3 linked regions of the Macaca mulatta genome follow. The protein of the gene in region 1 purifies or fractionates together with the protein of each later gene. This does not show direct contact. Links are inferred from orthologs where the notes say so. Each region holds a gene or a part of one and is shown in the gene's direction. Other genes may lie near its edges.

The links. Proteins that work in one complex are often made in the same cells at the same time.
Region 2: the proteins of CAMKV (region 1) and GPATCH8 purify together in Homo sapiens (affinity purification with mass spectrometry; 3 studies listed by BioGRID and IntAct, counting the BioPlex papers as one, with this or other methods). This does not show direct contact. The link is inferred for Macaca mulatta from reciprocal best matches to the Homo sapiens genes CAMKV and GPATCH8.
Region 3: the proteins of CAMKV (region 1) and AP3B1 purify together in Homo sapiens (affinity purification with mass spectrometry; 3 studies listed by BioGRID and IntAct, counting the BioPlex papers as one, with this or other methods). This does not show direct contact. The link is inferred for Macaca mulatta from reciprocal best matches to the Homo sapiens genes CAMKV and AP3B1.

Annotation. Positions count from the first base shown.
Region 1 is NC_133407.1:113,342,472-113,350,560, reverse strand, and holds the start of CAMKV (caM kinase-like vesicle-associated protein), read left to right. Parts: upstream 1-3,712; 5' UTR 3,713-3,894; intron 3,895-4,200; exon of another isoform or gene 4,201-4,274; intron 4,275-8,089. UniProt on the Homo sapiens protein: Does not appear to have detectable kinase activity.
Region 2 is NC_133421.1:68,781,252-68,788,556, reverse strand, and holds part of GPATCH8 (G patch domain-containing protein 8), read left to right. Parts: intron 1-3,185; coding exon 3,186-3,235; intron 3,236-4,367; coding exon 4,368-4,498; intron 4,499-7,305.
Region 3 is NC_133411.1:84,461,815-84,469,119, reverse strand, and holds part of AP3B1 (AP-3 complex subunit beta-1), read left to right. Parts: intron 1-877; coding exon 878-1,049; intron 1,050-4,368; coding exon 4,369-4,516; intron 4,517-7,305. UniProt on the Homo sapiens protein: Subunit of non-clathrin- and clathrin-associated adaptor protein complex 3 (AP-3) that plays a role in protein sorting in the late-Golgi/trans-Golgi network (TGN) and/or endosomes.

The DNA of each region.
Region 1 (8,089 bases):
AGGTTATCACGCTGGGTTCTGAGCGCTTCTGCTGCCCCGAGGCCCTCTTCCAACCCAATCTGATAGGTCTCAACCAGCCGGGCCTCCCACAGCTGGCCCTCCTAAGCATCAGCCGGTTGGAGGCCAAGCAGCAGGAGCAGCTATTGGCCAACGTGGTACTGGACGGTGGCAGCACCCTTGTGAGTGGCTTCCCCGAGCGCCTGAGACAGGAGCTGGGCCCTGGTGCCGCTGTGCTGGGGTCTCCCCACCGTGCAGTTGCTGCCTGGCTTGGGGGCTCCATCATGGCATCCCGCAGCTCCTTCCAGAACCTGTGGCTCAGCCGCCGGGAGTATGAGGAAGAGGGCCCATGGGCTATCTATAAGTACCAGCTGTAAGCAGATAAAAGTTCTGGTTCTGCTTGCTTTAAGTGCCGTGGCATGTTTCAGCCACAGGGTGGTGTGGGAAAAGCAGGAGTCCAGGCATGGGGTCATGGATAGGGGCCCTGGCTCTCCCAAGGCATGCTCTGCCTCTGCACTCTGGAACTCCATGGGCCCTGGCAACCTACCCTTTCTAGACAGCCCTGGAGCCCCTTGACTGGCATTGGCTCTGATCTGGTCTGACCTTTACTACACCCCAAGGGCAACCACAGAGAGTGGCTGCTGTGGGTTTTGCCCCGTTGCCCTGACGACAAGTGCAATTACCCTTGATTGCCAGCTTGTTGCCATGGCAATTTCAAACATAATGTAATAACCCACACAGCCTGGAGTGAGTCACAGGGTGGGGGGCGGGGAGGTAGCCCCCTCCCCTGGCTCCAGAGGAAAAGACTGCTTGCCTTCCCTATTGTGGGCCCTCTTCTAGGGGCTGAAGCCAAGCAACATGGACAACAGTCAGGCAGTTTCAAAGATGGCTGGGAGCCTGGGGCGGGAGGGTTCTGTCAGAGTTCAGGCTTCTTGGGAGAGCTGCACTGGTAATCTAGGTACCTCCTACAGTCTGAACCTTTGCTGGAGCTCTATGCTGGGTTAGCAGGGGCTTCTATCAGCCAGCCAGAATCTAAGGGCATGGGAGTGCTGGCCTTTGGTACCCTAGGGCAAGGAGTTGGGGGCGCAGATAAGTCCTGAATCCTGGGTAGGGCGCCCAACCTGAGCTGGGGGATGAAGTTCTGTGGATACTGAGGCTCACACCTTATTATGCCACTCGGACTTTCTAGCTTTGGTGGGAGCCAGAACTATGAACTTGGGCCCTCTTCTCCTCCTCAGCCTCCCAACCCAGGCAGCCCCTGTCTTCAGGGAACAGGCCTCCTTAGGAGTATCCTCATAAAGGCTACTAGGCAATGCCAATCTCAATTGCCTCTGCTCTTCTTCCAAACTGTGCTCTGTGCTAAAGGACTTCCTGCCATCCCTCTGGCCAGTGGAGTGGTAAGAAATCATGTCCCCTGACCCCATCTGGCTTTGAATAGTAGAAGTAAGAACAAAGCTCAGCATTGGTCCAGTCCCTGCCCTGGAAGAGCTAAGAGGATGGCATTCAGCTGGTGTTACTATCTCCTGCCTGAAAGGCAGCTGGAGGTGAAGCCAAAACATTGAAGCCGGTCCTACCCTGCCTGTGCCTTCCTGTCTGCGGGCTGAGGGATAAGCCATGGCTCAATCCTAGCCTTGGGTTCTTGTCTTCAGATTGCCCTCCACAAATGGCAAAGACTTGTCTATCTTCACATACACCAGAGATCAAGGGGCTGCTCTGGTGGGGAGCCTGAAAACAACCAATGATGTAGGGTCAGCACAGACCCTGCCCGCCCCTGGACATGGTCCAGCCCCCTTCCCATGTCCGGCTCTCAAAGCCTGATTCAGTCTCCACAATCCTGAGACTTGTGTCAGGCAGGAAGGGGACTGACAACTCCAGGGACCAGCTACAGAGTCCACACACACGTGCCAGCAAGCATGCCTGGGTGCACAAAGAATGCAGACACACGTGCCCCTGGGCACCATTGCATACACTATGCTGTTGCATCTCCCTCGGCAAAAGACAGCATACACACACGTACACGTGTGCACACACACCCTGCCACGTGCTCTCACCCACATGCACAGAGCGTGCTTAGGACCAAGAAGAGGTGGAGTACTGCCAGCAGCAGGCAGGGCGCTAAGAAGCCACCCCTTCCCCTGCCTAAACATCCCCATTCCAGCTTCTCCTTGACCCCATGCCTGGATAGCCATGACCCTCAGGAAAGACAGAAAACAAGTGTGTGGCATGTGTGGGGTCAGCAAGCCACAGCTTGGCTACACCATAAAACTCAGAGACCCATTGTTTCAAGAATAGTGGGCAGATGGCAGGAAGGACTCAGTGCCAGGCCATTCATTCACTCTGCAGACATCAGCCGAGCATACTGATATGAGAAACGGGTTCTGCCTTGCAGATACCCAGCCTGCCAGGAGATTCCTACCCAGTGGTGGGGTGGATCCCATAACCCGAGACCACTCAGAACCCAGGGACCCCAGAAGTGGCACCAGCCTGGCCCAGAGGAGGTAACCCCAAGCCAGGGAGGAATGTGAAGGGCTCAGTACCCACTCTGGAGGAAAATTTTGAGGAACCTTGTTTGAGGCGGTCATTTCCTAAGCTAGCCTTCCAGTCTGAGCCCCAGCCCCAGCTTCTGGACTTGGACAGTCCCTCCTGTCATCGGCCATGGGTGGCCATGCAGGGGAGCCTCAAGATGGCTGAGGGTTTGGGGATGACCCCAACTCCCTCTCCCACAGCAGGGTCAGGAGGCTTGCTGGGAGGAGTGGGGTGGGATAAAGCCCAGCTCCAGACACTGAGAGGCCTGAGTCTGGCTTTCAGATACTGGCCTTAGGATGGTCCTCAGGGCTTGTGAGGGGTGTGGGTCAGGCTTTGGGTCCATGAGCCTCACTGACAAGGGACAGAGAAATGGCCAAGGACTTCCTTCAAAGCTTCCTCCTGGTGGTTCTGAGCCTCCTCCCTCTGATTAGCGCCCAGGCCGGGTGAGATACCTTGGTGCCACAGTTCTCCTGTGTCCCTATATCCCAGGCCAGGCCACCTAGAGTGATGCTAGTCATGAAGTGTTTGAGAGTGATTAGACTGAAAAGAAAGCAGAGGCCACACCATGTCACAGGTGACTTTTATAGTTTGGGAAATTTGGTGCCATACAGGAGGGGGCTGACTGTGCCAGTCACCCTTGCTGGGGCTTATGGTTGGGAAAGACTGGCCTTGCAGGAGTTGGGGGTGGGGTGGGATAGGAGACTTTGCTTCCAGAGTCTAGGGCACTCACTGTTTTCACACTGACTACCTGCAAACAGACACCTCTGTGTATTAACTGCTCCTAGCTAGGGGATGCCAGTCTGTAGGGGAGCCTGCCCTAGCCCGACTGCCCATCTGGTTTTTCTAAGTTGGTCCTGCCTTTTGGGTCGGGTTCGGGGAGCTGGGCAAAGCCCCGGTTCCCTAGAGACTAATGGCTGGCAAGCGATCCTATGCAGCTCAAGGACTCAGGCTTTCCCCCAACTCTCCACTCCCCACCCCTTACATTGGGCATAGGAGGCCCCCTCCGACCCCAGGCTGAGGGCCTAAGGAAGCCGTTGAGAACCTTAGCCAGGGCTAAGCAGGCCAGTGCTCACCAGCACCGCTGCCATCCCGCGCGAGCCTGCTCTCCAGTGGGATTCTGCCCTTAAGGCTCCGCCAGGGTCGGGGCGGGGCCGGTTGGGAGGCCCCGCCCCCAGCCCGCCCCCGGCCCGGGGTGCGAATCCGGTGCCGGCAAGCGGCTGGCGATGCTAGAGGTTCGCTAGCCGAAGCGGCTGCATCTGGCGCCGCGTCTGCCCCGCGTGCTCGGAGCGGATTCTACCCGCCGTCCCCGGAGCCCTCGGCGCCCCGCTGAGCCCGCGATCACTTCCTCCGTGTGACCAACCGGCGCTGCAGGTGCGGGGCTGGCCGGGCTGGGGGCGCTTCCCGAACTCACGTTGTGGGGCCTTGGGGGATTGGTTCCCTGGCTCGAGGTTCGGGATGCAGAGTGCGCGGGGGCGCAGTGAGGGCTCGAGGTCCTGGCGGGGTCAGAGCGCGCGGGCTTTGCAGATTTGGGGGACGGAGTGCGGGGTCGGGCTAAAGTTCCCCATTACCTCGGACGGCTTGGGGATCCTGGGGGGAAGCCTCTGCGGCTCGGAATTATGAAAAGATTAACCCTCGAAGATTCGTGGTCCCCCGTGAGGATAGGGGCCGAGAGCTGAGCCGTCCCTCCCCGTTCCCAGAGCCGCCTCCAGCCCCTCCCAACTGTCCCCGGGCCCCTTCCCTCCAGCTTAGCAGTCACTAATTTCCATGACAACGGAGAGTTCTTTATGGGCGACAACCCGGAGGGGGCTGGGCGGGGCTGCCGCGGAGTGGGGGAGGAAGCTCCAAGCCCCTGGGGACCAGCAGCCCCCCAGCCAAAATTCCGCTTCTAAGCCTTCACCTGGGGGCTAGCCGGGGGTCCAGTGCATGGACCCACGTGCACGGTGGGGGTGGGGGCGCACATGTTCCTGCTGGGAGGTGCGGGGCTTGGTGCTCACACGTGTGCTTTCCGCATGTGTGTTGCTGTGCCAGCGGGGGCGAGCCAGCAGCACTTGGGAAGGGGGTCAGGGTGGCACCACGGTGGGGAGCAGGGCCCCTGGCAGGAGGTGGCTGGGATAGTGACAGCGTGAGCTTCTGCCTTCCCCAGCTTGTACTGTCTGGCAGAGACCCTGGGCTCTTGAGCCCCAGCCCCCTCCCCGTGTAGCTCTGCCAAATTGCTTTTGTCCTCACCTCCCAGGCAGAGCCTGCTCCACCAGGTTCCTTCCTAAGGATCAGGGCCCTCTGTCCCACACTAAAAGCTCAGAGTCTGCAGTAGTCCAGTTCCTGTGCTGTACTCCCCTTACCCCCAAGTCCAGGCTTTGAGCCCCCAGGACTACCTTCAGAGACCTGGTGCCCTCCCCCACCCTCAGAGTTGATTCCTGGCAGCTCCAGCGACTTCTGAGCCTCAGTTTCCTCAACTGGGAAATTGGTGTCTCCACTCCCCTCAAGGTCAGGTTGGTTTCCAGGGTGGGGCAAGGGTCTCCCTTTTCTAATACAGTATTTGGTGCGGACCCTTCAGGTGTCCCTCCTAGGCTGGCTGTTCACATATCTCTGATGGCCTTACTCTCCAGCCCCATGCCCTGGCCACCATTCACAGGCAAGCAAGCAAGCAGTGGCAAGCAAGCAGTCCTCTGCCCTGGGAGAAGGCCAGATTCCATGGTTTCTATTTGGGGAAACTGAGGCATGGGGAGGGGAAGGGCTGTGCAGTTATTCTGTTTCTGGGTTGCTTGTGATGCCATTTCTGGCATTCATGGCAGGATCTGCTGTTGGGGGTGGTGAGAGGGGATTAAGCAGAGCTGTAAGAGGGGCTCTGGGGACCCAAAGCCTGGAGAGGATAGCAGATGGGGGAGGGGTTGGCTGGGAGGGTCTAGGTACAGCTGGGCCAACTGAGAAGAGGGACTATAAAGGGAAGCAACTAGGCATCCAAGCCTCATTTCCATCCCCCTATGCGTCTGCCTTCAACATGTTGGACCTGCTTTACCTAAGCTGCCGTGATGGCAGAGAGATGGGCTGGGAACTGTCCTGACTGGGGGGCTGTAGCAGCTGGCCTCTTCCTCACCAAGATGCTCCAAGGAGCTGGCCTCCTTTTGGCTGTGCCTCCTATGCCAAGTTCAGTGTATGTTTGGGGGATACAGGAGGGTGCAAGCTGGAAGGTCCAGGTACCATGGATAGCTCCTGGCCCAGCGATTTAGAGCACATAGCCATGGAGGCCTTAGGGCTCTGCTGGGCACCCATCCGTCCCCTTCAGAACTCCTGTCCACCTCCCCTTTCCTGCCCTTTGTGCCTGTGTCCCTTTTACTTTGTCATCTCCTTGCTCCTCTTCCATCACAGGTTCTGTCTTTGTCTGTGTCTCTGCCCCATTCTCTTTTTTCTAAATTCTCTCAATCTCCCCACCTCCTCTTTATTGATGGGGACCTGGGTCACAGAACCTTGAAGAAGGAGCCAGGCTAAAGTCTCAGGGAATTCTTGAAGAAGGGACCTAACCAACACATCTCCCCTCCCCCTCCCCTTGTTTTAAAACTTCCATCACCATAGCAACCCTTTACTCTAGTGCCTTCCTCTGCATTTCCCCTCCTCCACCCACAGGGAAGCAGAGCCTCCAGTGGATTCTCCTTCAGGGGTTCAGAGATTTGGACCCCAAGTGCTTGGGAGGAGACAGCTGACCTTTGCCTCTGCCTGCATGTTGAGAGCCAAACTTTCAGGACGTAGCACTGGACTGCATGCCCACCCCCAAGATTGGAGAGACCTCCCCACAATACTCCTTCATTAGATGGGCAAAATTCAGCTGTAGGAACTTCTACCATGATTTAGCTGGAGCCTGAGGCTCAGTCAGGGCAGCCCCTTGACCAGTCCCCTGAAGCAATTGGATGGTGGTCTAGAAGCTTGGCCCTTGTTCCTAATAGACCTTGAGTGAGGTCTTCAGCTCCCCTGTTCCTGTGGGTGACACCTCAGCTGTGAGTTAGGCAGGGCTTGGGCTTCAGCATGTTCATTGCAGCAGGAAATCCAGCCCCAGTCCTTGAGAGAGTAGAGCAGCAGAGAGTAGGGGGTGCCTGCAGGCTGGTGTTCACAGCTACCACTAAATTGGGAGGTGCTGCCTACAGTTGTTGGGAGGCAGCTGGAGGCCTCTTGGGCCTCTCCTGGCCTCCCTAGATTTACTGCAAACTCTGGAGTCCCACATGGCAGGGGACCAAGGTAGCAGGAAAGTCTGTTTATGTCTATGACAGGTAGGGCCTGAACCAGGATGATCTCAGTGGAGGAGGGGACAGGACCCCAATGTGGGGCCTCTGGACCTCTTGGCCTTTGTTTTGTTTGGGCTTTCCCTGGGTCAGACTTACCTAAAGATGCAGTAGAGTCCTTGGGGGACCATTTGTCACCAGGGCAGCAACAGAGGACCCCTCAGGATTGCTGGAGGCTCAACTCCCTGAGCCCAGTGGTCGGGCCCTGGGAGCAGGCTGTAACTGGGGAGTGCTTGGCTGTCAGGCTCCCTGAGAGCCAGCTGGAGGGCAGTGGCAGCACCAGGGCCTGCACTCCCCACAAGCTCCCTTTGGGCAGCCCGCAGTGCATACTGTTCAGTTCCTCTGCAGAGAGTGGAGGGAGCCATGTCTCTAGGGAAATGACTGTTGTGGGGCTCCCGTGCCCTTCCATGGCCTAAGTGTACCTGAGGAAAAGCTCAGGTCCTGTGTTGCTGAGAGGAGAGCTCTCCATTGTTGGGTGTTGGGTCTGGGCCATGGGGGTGAGAAATGCACACCCCTTCCACCTGGCCTCCTCCCTTTCTGAGAGCTGTCCCTAGACTGTTCCTCCCAGTTCTCCTTTGTTGCAAGCAGGTGCCCAGGGCTTGGTGCACACACCGGAAGCCTCCCAGGGAGCAACAGTGGATAGCAGATGGTGGAGTGGGGGTGGGCAGAGGGAACCAGGGTGCTAATTGAAAGCCAGGCCCCTCTTTCTCCTCTCCTTGCCCTGGGGCCAAGTCCGGGGCCCCAAGCCAGTATAGTTAGACTGGTGAGGAGGAGGAGGAGGAGTGACTGGCTGAAATTTAGGCAGCCATAGTAGGGGGCAGGGGAGACAGATCTGTTCCCATCTCAGCCTTGAGGCTGCAGGACATGGCTCCAGGCTGACATTATGGGGTGGAGGCCCAGCTTTCTGTGGTAGAGATAGACCCCCATGACCAGCCCTGGGCCCCAGTGGGCATGAGTGCATATGCAGAGCTGAAAGCTGGGGCCAGGATCAGGGACAGGCATGCACAAAACCTCCCGCCCACACCACACTGGTAGAGCCGGGAGCTGTTGGAGTGGGGTGGGGGGTGGGGCATGGAGGTTGTGGAAGGTATCTCAGAAAAGGACCATTTGAGTCTGGCCTTGGAGCATCAGGATTGTTTTGGACAATGTGTTGCACAAACTACCTTACAATGTCAGCAATAACAATGAAAGAAGAGATTCAGTTCTGCTCTCAGCACCTTGCTCATGTAGCAGCTGCTCCACAGGAAAGCCAAGGTGGGCAGAGCTCTTGCCAGTGCCCACACTTCCTACCATTG
Region 2 (7,305 bases), on another chromosome or scaffold:
ATGGATAATCAAATCCATTTAAATTAGAATGTCCCAGTTTGGAGTCTAACTTGAATTTTTGTGTATGGTATGGAATTTGCTCAGACTTTGACAAGAGATTGATGACATATCTGCAGTGTTTGGTCTTGTGAGCTCTGCCTCTTCTCTCATAGGCAGGCATGTTGCTCTATTCTCACCTGAAGAAATTATCTAAAGTTGTGTTCCTCTTTAGAATTTAAGAGAAAAGTATAGGTACACTTCACAGAATTTCACATGGGTATTCCATAACAAATGAGCCAGACATTGGTAGCCTTTTGGAATAAAATAGGCAATTTTGGAAAACCTGACTGATTAGGTCCTTGTGCCTTTATAGAAATTACTTTTTAGGTAGGAAGCTGAGAAGTTTCTGGCCAGCATCTTTTGCCATTTGGCCCAATTCTGTCTAGAAATAAGGGGTATCTGGAGTGGTAGCTAGGAGGACCATATTATATAACTTTAATATGTCCCTAATAAAGATATGAGAATACTTTATATCAAGCTTTCCTACAAATGGTAGAAAAATTTATTTGAGGAAAAACGAAGGATCTAATGTTTGAACTGAATTATTCACTGGACATTTACCAGATGCCCTCTGTAGACTTAGTGCTGTTTTGTATACTGCGGGGTTGATTATAAAGATAAGCTGTAGTCCCTGCCCCACACAGAGGGAAGGCAGTATTGAACACTTGTGACTTATTAAATGCTTTACATTTATTTTGACATTTAATCTTGTAAATCTGTAGATAGGTAGCCCTGTTTTTTAATGAGGGAGCTGGAACTCAGAGAGGTGAAATCATCTAGTAATAAGTGGATTGGCTAGTTAATTAATGGATTTGAACCCAAGCTTTCTGACTCTGAAGCTTTACACATACTGCCTTTTTAAAAGACAGGAATAACTGGTCAGAGAACAAAATACAATAGCTGCTAGGTGAACGATATGACAAAGCACCACTAGGGACAGTTCAGAAAGAACAGTCCCCTGTTTTGAAGGATCAGTGGAGACTGTAAGAATTTAGTTTGACCTTGAGTAGACAGGAGACACTTGGAGTTAGGCATTCTAGGTAAAGGAAAATATGAACCTTATAACCCATGTCTTGGCTGGGCGTAGTGGTGCATGCCTATAGTCCTGGCTTCTTGGGAGGCTGAGGCTGGGGGCATCACTTGAGCCCGAGAGTTCTGAGCTGTAGTGCGCTCTGCTGATTGGGTGTCTGCACTAAGTTCGGCATCATGTGATGAACTCCCAGGAGCGGGGGACCAACGAAGCTTCCTAAGGAGAAGTGAACCGGTTCAGGTCGGAAACAGAGCAGGTCAAAACTCCCATGCTGATCAGTAGTGGAATCACACATGTGAATAGCCCCAGCACTCCTGCCTGGGCAACAAAGTGAGACCTTGTCTCTTAAAAAAAAAAAAAAAAAGTCGCCAGAACAGAATGTCCTCGTCTGAAAGAAACCACAAGTATACATACTCAGTTTGATAGGGTTTGCTGAGTCCTGTCTCTTAAGGTTGGGGTTAGAATTCTGGGGTTCTCAATTCTGCTTTTGAGACCGCAGACTTGACTGTAAAATTTGTAAATGTGATATTGGGAGCCTTTCCTAAGCTTTGTAGGGTATTCTTAGGATTTGCCCAGAGGGAGCCTGCAGTTTAGATTCGTTTTATTGCATCATCCTATCTTCTTCCGTCTCTGCCTCCAACCATGTTCCTGTGGTAGGAACTTGAGATAGGATGTCTTCAGCATGATGTGGACATGGTCCTGTTCCTTCAACTTCAGGGTTGTACAAAGTGGCTGTTGAATGGAAAGCCTAATCTTGACTCAGCCTGGGGACTCCATACTTTGATTAAATGATTGTTCTTTTGGACAGTGTCTTGTAGTTTGAAAAATGCTTCCTAAAAGTAATGAAATATTTGTAAGAGGGGAGGAAATGGCATGGGGAAATTTTCCAGTCTTAGCAGGTGGCTAGAGAGATGGCAGGCTGGGTGCAGTGGCTTATGCCTTGTAATCCCATCATTTTGGGAAGCCGAGGCGGGCGGATCACCTGAGGTCAGGAATTGAAGACCAGCCTGGTCAACAAGGGGAAACCCCATCTCTACTCAGCCGAGCGTGGTGATAGGCACCTGTAGTCCCAGCTATTCGGGAGGCTAAGGCAGGAGAATTGCTTGGACCCAGGAGGCAGAGGTTGCAGTGAGCCAAGATCACACCACTGCACTCCAGCCTGGGCGACATTAAAACTCTGTCTCAAAAAAAAAGAGAAAATGGCAGATATGAGAAGAACATTATATTCTATATAAATCTTGGTTAGAGAGCCTATTACGTGTTTGGGGAAGAAAAAACTAGGTTTGTGGCCAAAGGTAATCATATAATAGACCTGATAAGCCTTTTCTTTCTGCCCCATTCCCCTCAGGAGGATGAAATTAGAATTCATATTTATTCATATTTATTTAAAATAGTTGATCCTTTATCTTGAAGTGGTTTTATAAAAATCTTAATTGTGGGCTGGGTGTGGTTGCTCATGCCTGTAATCCCAGCACTTTAGGAGGCCGAGGCAGGTAGTTCACTTGGGACCAGGAGTTCAAGACCACCCTGGCCAACATGGTGAAACCTCGTCTCTACTAAATATATAAAAATTAGCCAAGCATAGGGGTGCATGCCTGTAATCCCAGCTACTTGGGAGGCTGAGGCATGAGAATTGCTTAAACCTGGGAGGCGGAGGCTACAGTGAGCCAAGATCGCGCCACTGCACTCCAGCCTGGACAACAGAGACTTCGTCTCAAAAAAAAATTGTTAATTATGGGCAGTAATAGTTTTGCCAGCTGTTCATTACTTGAACTTCCCCCAAAATAAGGGCTCATGGAAACAGGACTGCTTTTTGTACCACAATGGTCTTTTCCAAAGTTCTGGAACCATTTTTCTGGAAGAAATACAGGTAGTTCCATTTTTCTAGGTGGGATTACTATGTCAGTCTGTGTGTATGTACACATATATATGTTGTACAGGTGCTTCCCTTCTCCCCAGCCCTTTTAGAGTTGATGGCTTTGTCCCTGATTGTTCAGTATAATAGTTTACAGATTCACTAAGAGAGCTTGTGTAGTAATGCTTGCTTTATTTTTTTTTTCTCTTCCACTCTTGTTTTATTTTTTACTTTTTTTTCTTTGTGATGTGACATTTTCAGCTGATGTATTGAAAGCAAATCCTTCTAATTTGGGAGCCCAGATCACAAGAGTGAGTTTTTCTACTAGTGTCTTTAGCTGTATATCTTTTTTTGTGTGTGTCTTTTTACCCTTCCCCCCTCCCAATTTAAAAAGATTCAAAACACATTTCATAAATACTAGGTAAGAAAATTCCTCTGTCTGTTGAACATCATGCCTTTCCACAAAGCAATGTCCACTTTATACTGGGTCAAATTCCTTTTCCCAATGCTGTTGTAAAAGCATAGGCTAATGTATATATTTTGTTTTGTTTGTGTCTTGTTATTATCTAATGTCTTGAAAATAATTTTATTTCTGTCTTTATTGCAGATAGATATGTCTGGGTTCTGTCACCAGTGTGTCATAACACTGTTCTTTTTTGGTTGTATTTCTTTTAAGGAAAATTATACAGTAGTTTCTGAAAATAAAAGACCCATTCTGTTATCTGGATTCTAAGTAATAAAGTCTTTGACTTATCTCTGCTCTCCCTCCTCATCCCCTGGATATTCCTCTCAGGGCCATGAAGGAATGCAAAGCCTCACATACTACTTTCAGCAGGCTGACCAGATAAAAGTGGTCAGACTGGTGAGCTCTAAACGTGCTAGCGCTGGAAGACCTCTCGGGTTTATTTAATAGTTACGGGAAACCTCTATTCATGCTAAAAAAAAATGACACCTTTTTATGGTGAAATAAAAGTATGCTTTCTATTTGTTCTAATTCAAATAACCCCCCATGTAAGCTGTACATTGCTTTTCAAGATCTTACACCTGGGTAACTTTCTGTACTAGCCTAACCCCTTTCTGTTCTCTTTGGCTTGTGTTATTACAATTTATCTCATGTTCTGTTTGTCTAGTTTTGCATCCTGGAGGAGCAGGTCCCTTTCTTTCCTCCCAGTGTTCTAAAATTTGCTTGTTGCATTTGAGATCATTTTATTTTGCCTAATAAAGCAAATGATATGCTGTCCTAATTAGAAGTGTAGATACTGCAAGTGCTATACCCAAAGTAATCAGCCATTGTGTTTTCAGTTGCCATAAGAGAATATGATAATGTGTTCTACACTAATACTATGACTGTTGGTTGAGGGTCATGTCCTAAAGGCTTTGCTTTCTGATTCCCAAGTTACTGTAAATCATCCACCCTCTGTATCTTTCTTTCTTTTAACCCAGAGATTAAAAGATCTCAAGCAGAGAGAGTTTGCTCGAAATGTCTCTTCAAGATCCCGCAAGGATGAGAAAAAACAGGAAAAAGCCCTTCGGCGGCTCCATGAGTTGGCAGAGCAGAGAAAACAAGCTGAATGGTGAGGATATTTTTTATCAGAGGGTTCTACAGATAATTATAATCCTTAAAGTTTTAAATTATAGATTTCAGATTATAATTTAAAATTTAAATTAAGATTTAAGAATTATAAACCTTGGGCCAGGCGCAGTGGCTTACCCCTGTAATCCCAGCACTTTGGGAGACTGAGGCAGGCAGATCACAAGGTCAGGAGATTGAGACCATCCTGGCTAACACAGTGAAACCCCATCTCTACTAAAAATACAAAAAATCAGCCGGGCGTGGTGGCAGGCGCCTGTAGTCCCAGCTACTCTGGAGGCTGAGGCAGGAGAATGGCGTGAACCCGAGAGGCAGAGCTTGCAGTGAGCCGAGATTGCACCACTGGACTCCAGCCTGGGTGACAGCGGGAGACTCCATCTCAAAAAAAAAACAAAAACAGGCCGGGCGCGGTGGCTCAAGCCTGTAATCCCAGCACTTTGGGAGGCCGAGACGGGCGGATCACGAGGTCAGGAGATCGAGACCATCCTGGCTAACACGATGAAACCCCGTCTCTACTAAAAAATACAAAAAAAAACTAGCCGGCTGGGGTGGCGGGCGCCTGTAGTCCCAGCTACTCGGGAGGCTGAGGCAGGAGAATGGCGTAAACCTGGGAGGCGGAGCTTGCAGTGAGCTGAGATTCAGCCACTGCACTCCAGCCTGGGCGACAGAGTGAGACTCCGTCTCAAAAAGAAAAAAAAAAAAAAAACAAAAAAGTGGCCAGGCGCGGTGGCTCACACCTGTAATCCCAGCACTTTCAGAGGCTGAGGCGGGCGGATCACCTGAGGTTGGGAGTTCAAGACCAGCCTGACCAACGTGGAGAAACCCTGTCTCTACTAAAAATACAAAATTAGCCAGGCATGGTGGCACATGCCTATAATCCCCGCTACTAGGGAGGCTGAGGCAGGAGAATGGCTTGAACCTGGGAGGCAGAGGTTGTGCCGAGCCAAGATCGTGCCATTGCACTCCAGCCTGGGCAACGTGAGTGAAACTCCATCTCAAAAAAAAATTATAAACCTTCAGTTTTTATTAATTGACAAATAATAATTGTACATATTCATGGGTTGCTTAGTAATGTTTCAACGTATATGTAATGTTTCAACACATATAGTGATCAGATCAAGGTAATTACCATATCCATCTCTGTTCTACTTTTTAATTCTATGAGATCAACTTTTTTTTTTTTTAGCTTCCACATATGTGTGACAACCTGCAGTGTTTAATTTTCTGTTTCTGGGTTATTTTACTTAACATAATGTCCTCCAGTTCCTTAAAATGTTTAATAGATCCTTCTTTCAAACTAAAAGCATATCTATATACTTGTATAATATACTGATTAAGTATGTGTATTTTTGAGGCCATATTTTTCTTACTGTTTATGTGACGTAATGAAATTATATTTAAACTCTGTGCCTCAGTTTCCTTATCTGTAAGATAGAGATAAGAACAACTTAGAGTTGTTATGAGGAATGATTGAGTTATTACCTTGGAAATGCTTGAAGGGATGCCTAGCACATCAGAGATGCTCAAGAAATCAATAAATGATGACGCTATTACAATTATTCCCATTTTCTAACATTTATATTAAAAAGCACATGCTGGGCATAGTGACTCACACCTGTAATCCCAGCACTTTGGGAGGCCAGAGCAAGAGGATCTCTTGAACCCAGGAGCTCAAGACCAGCCAGGGCAACATAGGAAGACCCTGTCTCTAAAAAAAAAAAAAAAAAAAAAAAAAAAAAAAAAACTTAAAAATTAGCTGGGTATGGTGGCACATGCCTGTAGTCCCAGCTACTCAGAAGCCTGAGGTGGAAGAATCTCTTGAGCCTGGGAGATCAAGGCTGCAGTGAGCTGTGATCGCACCACTGCATTCCAGCCTGGGTGATAGAGCAAGACCCTGTCTCAAAAAAACAGTATCCCCTTTTTATTCAGTTTGGCCCTGGGGGTCGTTTTTTATTTGTTTGCTTTGGAGTAGGTTTCATAACACAGTGTAAGTATTTCTTGCTCTCCAAATCTGTTGAGTTCTCATTTTCCAGTAGCAACAGTTTAGATAGCAAGAGATTACACATTGGTGGGGCACAGTGGCTCACGCCTGTAATCCCAGCACTTTGGGAGGCTGGGGTAGGTGGATCACCTGAGGTCAGGAGCTTGAGACCAGCCTGACCTACATGGTGAAACTCCGTCTCTACTAAAAATACAAAAATTAGCTGGGCATGGTGGCGCACGCCTGTAATCCCAGCTACTAAGGAGGCTGAGGTAGGAGAATCGCCTGAACCCGGGAGGCGGAGGTTACAGTGAGCCAAGATTACACCATTGCACTCCAGCCTGGGCAACAAGAGCAAAACTCCGGCTTGGGAGAGAGGAAAAGAAAGAGAGATTACACATTGTCTGAATATACTTGTCCCTGAGTTGAGGATAGCTATTAGCTAGGGTTTGGATAACAAGGACATCATACAAATAGGTATCTAATTCTGTTTAGTTCTTGATTTGGAATTTAAGGATATAGTGGGCCGGGCGCGGTGGCTCAAGCCTGTAATCCCAGCACTTTGGGAGGCCGAGGCGGGCGGATCACAAGGTCAGGAGATCGAGACCACAGTGAAACCCCGTCTCTACTAAAAATACAAAAAATTAGCCGGGCGCGGTGGCGGGCGCCTGTAGTCCCAGCTACTCAGGAGGCTGAGGCAGGAGAATGGCGGGAACCCGGGAGGCGGAGCTTGCAGTGAGCCGAGATCGCGCCACTGCACTCCAGCCTGGGCAACAGCGTGAGACTCCGTCTCAAAAAAAAAAAAAAAA
Region 3 (7,305 bases), on another chromosome or scaffold:
GAAAGAATACAGGCACTCCTAGCTTTTCACTGTGATGGACCTTCCTGATGTTGGTGTTATTTAACCATTAGAATGTTTAATTAAAGGTTGTGTTCCTGCCTAAGAGGGCTTCGTTACGTAGATCACAGGCAGGGCAACAGTTTGTCCTTTTGTCTAGGACACAACTCTGTAGTTATAGTCATTTTAAATAGTAAAAAATACACATATATTTTTCATGTGTTCTCTTCTGCAGAGAGTCCTAGCATACCATAATTTATACATAAAACATTTAAAAGTATAATTCCTCAATGTAACTTGATCATCTCTTTGACCTATGGAAAACTCCTTTACTAGCTCGAATAAGTAATAACTCTTTAATTAGTCATTTGCCTATTGTCTTTGAATTTGGAAGTTTTTCCAGGTGATTTGAATGGCTCATTTTCCTCTCAAAATTTGTTCCTAAGAAGATTAAACTGTTGCCTTCTTTTACTCTAAATAGAATTTCCCATTACAAGCAGAAGAATTTAAAATTATTTCTTTAGCCTTACATCAATCTTTATGTAATTCTTTAAAAGAAAGTTTTTGACAAAGCTATATACTTTGGGGTTTGAAAAGTGAGATTCCCTCAAATTTGGTTTACTTGGTTCATCTTTGCTTAGCTTTTCTCTACTCATTGTCAGAGCATCCTCTCTCTGTCTGCCTCCCTCCAAACTCACCGTGCTAAAGGAATCCATAGAGCTGAAAGAATGGGGTATGGGAATGAAATGTTAAACACGTGGTGTCCACTGAACTAAAATTCAACATCTGGTTTCATTTGAGATGAATATTGACAGTTACAGGTGTCCGTGTGTCTAATTAAATGACTATAAATCTAAGAACATCTGGTTCTGTTTTTCAGAGAGTGAATCTGGAAGTGAAAGTGGAGAGCAAGGCGAAAGTGGGGAGGAAGGAGACAGCAATGAGGACAGCAGTGAGGACTCCTCCAGTGAGCAGGACAGTGAGAGTGGAAGGGAGTCAGGCCTAGAAAACAAAAGAACAGCCAAGAGGAACTCAAAAGCCAAAGGAAAAAGGTAATGTATTTTGTCAGAATTTCCTTCAAAAAATATTCTGTGAAAGTTTGCCCCAGGCAGATGTTTCTTGTTAATCAAAAAATGATGAGAGAAAAGAAGTGTGTATTTTTTCCCAAACAGATATTAAATCTTTTTAAAATTAAAGTGCTAGTTCACATTATTTTCCTACTTGTAATGCTTAGCTTTCATTTTGAACTTGAACATATCTTGGGGTTACATTTTGAAAATTGGTATAACCTTGGAAGGCTGAGTTAAGTGATCAAGCAATAGGTATGAAACACTTAATTACCTTTTGTAGCAATTTTGCTGAGGGCTAAAATTAAATCCTTCAACACTTTGCCATTATGTAACCAAGACAATTGATTTTTCTAAATAATGTTATATTAAAAAGATTATGATCCAAATATTAGAGTCAAGGGCTGTGAAGGAAGACGGTCATAAGAGCTTTAAGTGTTAGCACTTTTTAAGATCTCCCATTATCAACAACATTATCATGTATTAAAGTGTCATTAAAATTTTGAGTAATTGGGGCTAATATCTTGGATTGTGCAACTCTGTTTTCCCCACTGCTGTCAGTGAGTGGCCTCTGCCGACATGATGGTCCTTTCCCCAGGAGCCTGCTGCCCGCTCACTTGATGAGCTTGCAGCTCGGCTCAGTCGTGGCTGACAGCACTGATTGGGGCGCAGTACGCTCTCTGCTCCTTTTATTACAGACAGTAATTAAAGCAGCTCGCCCTGCCACTTCCATAACAAACACAGCATAATGCCCTAATTATGACTTTATTAATTTAAGTCAGGATTTAATGATTTTAAAAGTGATTTATATTGTTTTTCCTGTTCAGAACAAATGAAATCTGTAGGTTAAATTAATACAGGCTTTTCATCATTGCAAAGTTAGAAACCTAGTTACCAGTAAATTCTTTTCATTAGATTAACATCTGAAACTCTAAGCAGTAAGGTAAACAATAATTACCATCAAAATTGAGTGATGCATAATAAAATAACACTTTTACTTTTAAAATCTTATCTTAAAAGCTAGAAGTTAAATATATTTAGAATCATTCACTTGTTGCAGCAAAGGAGCTACTTGGTTTATAATAGCCTTGTCTTTGAGAGAAATCCTGTACTTCTGGTTTAATATCAGAATATCTATGATGATATGAGTTATAAAACATGTCTTGTTTCTAGAAAGGGAAAGTTTTGTTCAGTGCATGAAATGTCCTTTCAGATGGCAGAAGTCAGTATACTAGAAATTTGTAGTCATGTATTAGTTTTATTATTCCTTTCTTCAGAAATAGATTTTTCTCTTTACCCACATTTGAATTTAAAAGAATTGTTTATTACAAAGAGAACCACAAATACATTCTAAACCTTATATTTTTAAGTACACATTTTAACCAGTGAATTGGGGATAATAAATTGCCGTTTTTTTGCCAGGGAAAAACAACAACATATTTTTCAGTCTTCAAATATAATTACATGTGCTCTGAGATGTTGCCATGGCTCCATTTTTAATAAACAGCAATCATATTTCCTCTACAAAAATCAATTCTAGGAAATATCGATTCTTTCCTTGCCTCACTCCTCTCCCTCCCCCAGTATTTTTCTGCCTCTTAGAATGTTTTTTTAACTTTGCTAGTATGATAATTTTTTAAAGCTCTTAATAAGCTTTAAGCATCTTCAAAAACCACCCTTTAGTAATCATAAATATTTATGACCGAATTTAAATTTTACACTCCAAAGTGTTTTCATTTGAAGGGAGATAGTATGACATAGTGGAAAAAATACGGACTTTGGAGTGAGACAGGCTTGAGTTCAGATTCTAGTTCTGCCCCTCTTGTTATGTGTCCCTGAGCAAGTTATTTAACCTTTCTGAATATTAATTTCATTATTGTAAATGGGATAATAATGTACCCAGGAAGAGTGCATTTAAATTAGGTAATCAGTATGATTGGTATGAAATGCCTAGCCCTTTCTGGCCCACAGTAGATTCTTAAAAATATACACACACATGTTGTAGAGAGAACTAGACTTTTAGTTTCCAGGAAAATATAAAACACCACAAGGCATCTCTCATCCCCTGAGATAAGGGTGTTTGGTCATCTCACATGTTATTCCTTCTCCTTGGAGAACTGCTTCCCTGCCCATCTGCCAGCCTTACTCCTATATCTTGGCTTATATGTCTCTTTCTCCAGGAAGCATTCCTAATTGGATTAAGTTTGTTTAGGTGTCTCTCCAAATGTTCTCCTGACACACTATAATTTATTACTTACTATACTGTATTATCACTGCCACCTTATCTATATCCTCCAGTGGACTGTAGACTCTGTAGGGTAGACACACATAGATCCTCTTAACCATTGTTATCCTTAGCACCTAACATAATGCCAACATGTAGTCAAAAATTAATTAATATTTGTTGAGCAGATGAACAAATGAACAAATGAATGGTGTTAAGCACTTAGGTATGATCATTTGGTAATTTAAAAGTTTATATTTGATTAGCTTAAATTTGTAGCAAGATAGTACTTTAGAAGTTCCTTTGTTAACCAGAAACACATTTCTCATAGAATGTGTTTAAGGTCACATTTGAGAACTTGTAGTAAGTAATTTTCTTGGGTAGAAAAGTGTATAAAATACAAGTCTATTTTAGCAAAAGTAGATATATAAATATTTAAATATATTACTAAACCGGGTGTGGTGGCTCAAGCGTGTAATCCCAACATTTTGGTAGGCCGAGTTGGGAGGATTACTTGAGCCCAGGAGTTCCAGACCAGCCTAGGCAATATCGTGAGACCCTGTCTCTACAAAAAATATAAAATTAGCTGGATGTGGTAGTGCCCGCCTGTAGTCCCAACTACTTGTGAGGCTGAAGTGGGAGAATCGCTTGAGCCTGGGAGATCGAGGCTGCAGTGAGCCATGATTGCACCACTGTACTCCAGCCTAGATGACAATGAGACCCTGTCTCCAATATATATATGTGTATACACACACAGTATTTTGAGATAGCATTTTAAAAATCAGCCTAAATATCTTTGAAGTTGTTACTGGTAGTACTTAATTCTTGGTAAATCAGACATTTAATATTTTCTACATTGTTTTTGATTATATTGTTTAGTGTCATTTTATGACTTTTTGCATATGAAGTGTGTATGACAGGATAGAATTGAATTTGAGTGGGTTCTAATTTATTTGGTTATGGGTAATACCTTCATTATTACCTCATTAATGTATTCTGGAATTTAAAAACCATTTTTTATATAAACGACTTATATAAAGGAGTTAAAGTTGATATTTCAAAATTTACTATTATATATAGTGATTCTGAAGATGGGGAGAAGGAAAATGAAAAATCTAAAACTTCAGATTCTTCAAATGCCGAATCTAGTTCAATAGAAGACAGTTCTTCAGATTCTGAATCAGAGTCAGAATCTGAAAGTGAATCTGAATCCAGAAAAGTCACTCAGGTAAGAGATTATGCATTTGTTGTAATTGAAGGTAAATATACAGCAACTAAAATAAACAACACCATCCTTATCTATGCCTGTGATTTTTTATTTTTTCTAGATAAGCCTTTCCCTTATAACCTAACTCTGAAGAAAAGCTAGAAACTTTCAAAAAATCTCATCCCTTGCCACCGAAATCAGGGAACTCTTATGCATATGGCTTTTTTTGTTCTTGGCTAGGTTGTGACAAGGGGTGTTTTTGCTGAAGGGACTGTGAAAGGAAGTCACAAAAAATAGTATTGAGCAAAGAATTCTAAGCATACATACATCATCAGAAATTTAGACTATTCAGTTTTTTAAAATATTGGGCATTTTGCATAATAGAGTATGTTTTAAAGCTTTAATTAAAGAGTATACATTCTTTAGTAAGAATTTGCATAGACATTTAAAAACAAATGCAAGAGCCACTTATATAATAAAATAATAATGCTTTTTGGTAATAACGTTTGTAACACTGAATTTTGCCTGCTTAGCAGGAAAAAAATAAAGTATAAATTGCAAAAATGTAGTTATTAATGTAAAATGTATTCTATCTGATTTCAGGTCTAGTTAAATGAATAAAATAATAATACAGAATTCAGACCTAATTATAATTATCTTTTTGGTCTTTAATAATCACCCCTTTCCTATAAATGGGCCGTGTTCATGCTAGACTTCAAGTATAGTAGTTTTATATATAACTGTGTTATTCTGTTTGTTGAAAATATGGCCAAACTCTGCCTTTGATTCAGTTCAGTTTCTTCTTAATCCAATATTGTTTTTGTTTATTTGTTCTATTAACTTGAATTTCTTCAGTATGTTATCTGAGTAGGCAAGGATGAAAATTAATTTATTGAAGTAGACAATTGCCCTCCCCCATCCAAAGATTTATTGTTAAAGAATGTTTTTAAAATTGGCTAGCCTTATTTCACATTTTCTTGCATTTATTAAAACCTATCTTAAACTTGAATTTATATTTAAAACGTGTCTGTATATAAAATAACCTAAGATTTTTATTTTTAAAAAATTCACATAAAATCTTAAGAGATTTTATGGTTTATTAATCTGGCCTGATATAAAAACTTATCACATAGTGAGTTTGATGTACTCTCATTTCGTACTTACATCAAATTACCAGAAAGTTTAAAATGTTATTGAAAATAAAGAGAGTTACAAATCGACAGTAAGTACAACCCAGAGTAAGAAGTATTTTTTTAAAATGACTGAACAAGAAATCAGTGAGTGTCGAGTGGTGGAAGTTATTCTTAGGAAGTTTTATAACAGTTGAAAAATTATAGACTTCAGTTCCTCTGTACTATTAGAAGCAGAGCTTTAGGATGCCATTAAAAAGCCACAGTGGTTGAACATCATGTTGTGTTGTACCCCTTCCTCCCCCTGAAAAAAACAAAAGAAGATAAAAGCCACGGGGGCACTCCAGGTCAGTGATTCTGTTTGTTTCTTCTTTGTCAAGGACTTTCAGTGATCAGATTAAATCTCTTGATAGTTAAAAATATTTTCCTGTAAAACGTCAGTATAAAACAACTCAAACTATTGCAGTGAACCAAGGCTTTTGAGAAATTTGGGTTTCGCTCACATTGTTGATAGTTTTGTGTTCATGTGTTTCCCTTAGGTGGCTTATTTATATTAGAATGCCTTTTCCCATCTATAATAGGTAGACAGGACTGTGGAATTTTTTGCTTTAGTTTAGCAATTGGAATAAGTATTCTCCACCTTGGAGCTACCATACTACTTATTTATTTCTATTTCTTTCTGAATAATTTGGCATATACCATGCAATTGCAGAGTATATCTATTTTCTAATAATAGGCGACTATAATTGTAGAAAAGTCCTCCTTGCACCAAGTGTTGTGGCTTCTGCTCTAAATTATGAGTAATGAAGGCAGATGGTGGGTACTTTACTTTAATTTAGCATGACAATATGTTAGTGCTGAAAATTCATATGCCTTATATCTGCAGCCTAACTAAATCTACACTTTTACGCTTTCTTTTCTTTTTTTTCATTCAGACAATGTGTTTTGAGGGCACTGAGCATGAAAATGTGACCTAGGAGTTACCTTGAATACATGGCTTTCAGAACAGTTAATTTTTATGGTAGTTCTATGAGATAAGCATAGTGTTCTACTTGTTGGGAGAGAATATCTTTGTTTCAGTTTCCTCATCTGTAAAGCAGAAATGCTAGTACCTACCTTATTTCTTTCAAGTGTTATGTCAAAAATAAAATATGAAAGATCAATGTAACACACTATATAACTATAAAACAACAGTTTTAACATTCTTTAAAATTTCATAAAAGATCAACAATATTGGAGAACATCAAATGCTAAAAGTAACCTAAATTTTTTGGTAACTTAAGTATCCTGCTTTTTTTTCCCACTCTTTTTACACTATTCAGGTTGTAAGTCAACATTTAATTCTGTTCCCTTACCTACAGCCTGTGAGCTTAGCCACTTTCTTTAGAAGAGAGCTGCCATCCACGGTCAGTGTCTCTACTCTCTAACTCACAGTCTCCATTTACCCTACTTTTCCTTTGAATGCAGCTCTGTGTAAGATTCACATCCCCTTCCCCAAGGGTAACTCCTACTTCCTTTTGGTTTTGTTTTGTTCATAATCATCTGTCTCCTTCGCACCTTTAATCTCTTTCTCCATTCATTCCTTTTCTGCCAACTGTAGCATTCAGGTTTTTTCCTCATTTAAAGAGAGAGAGAGGGAGCATGGAGTGGAAAAGACAGTGTGTGTGTACATGAGTGAGA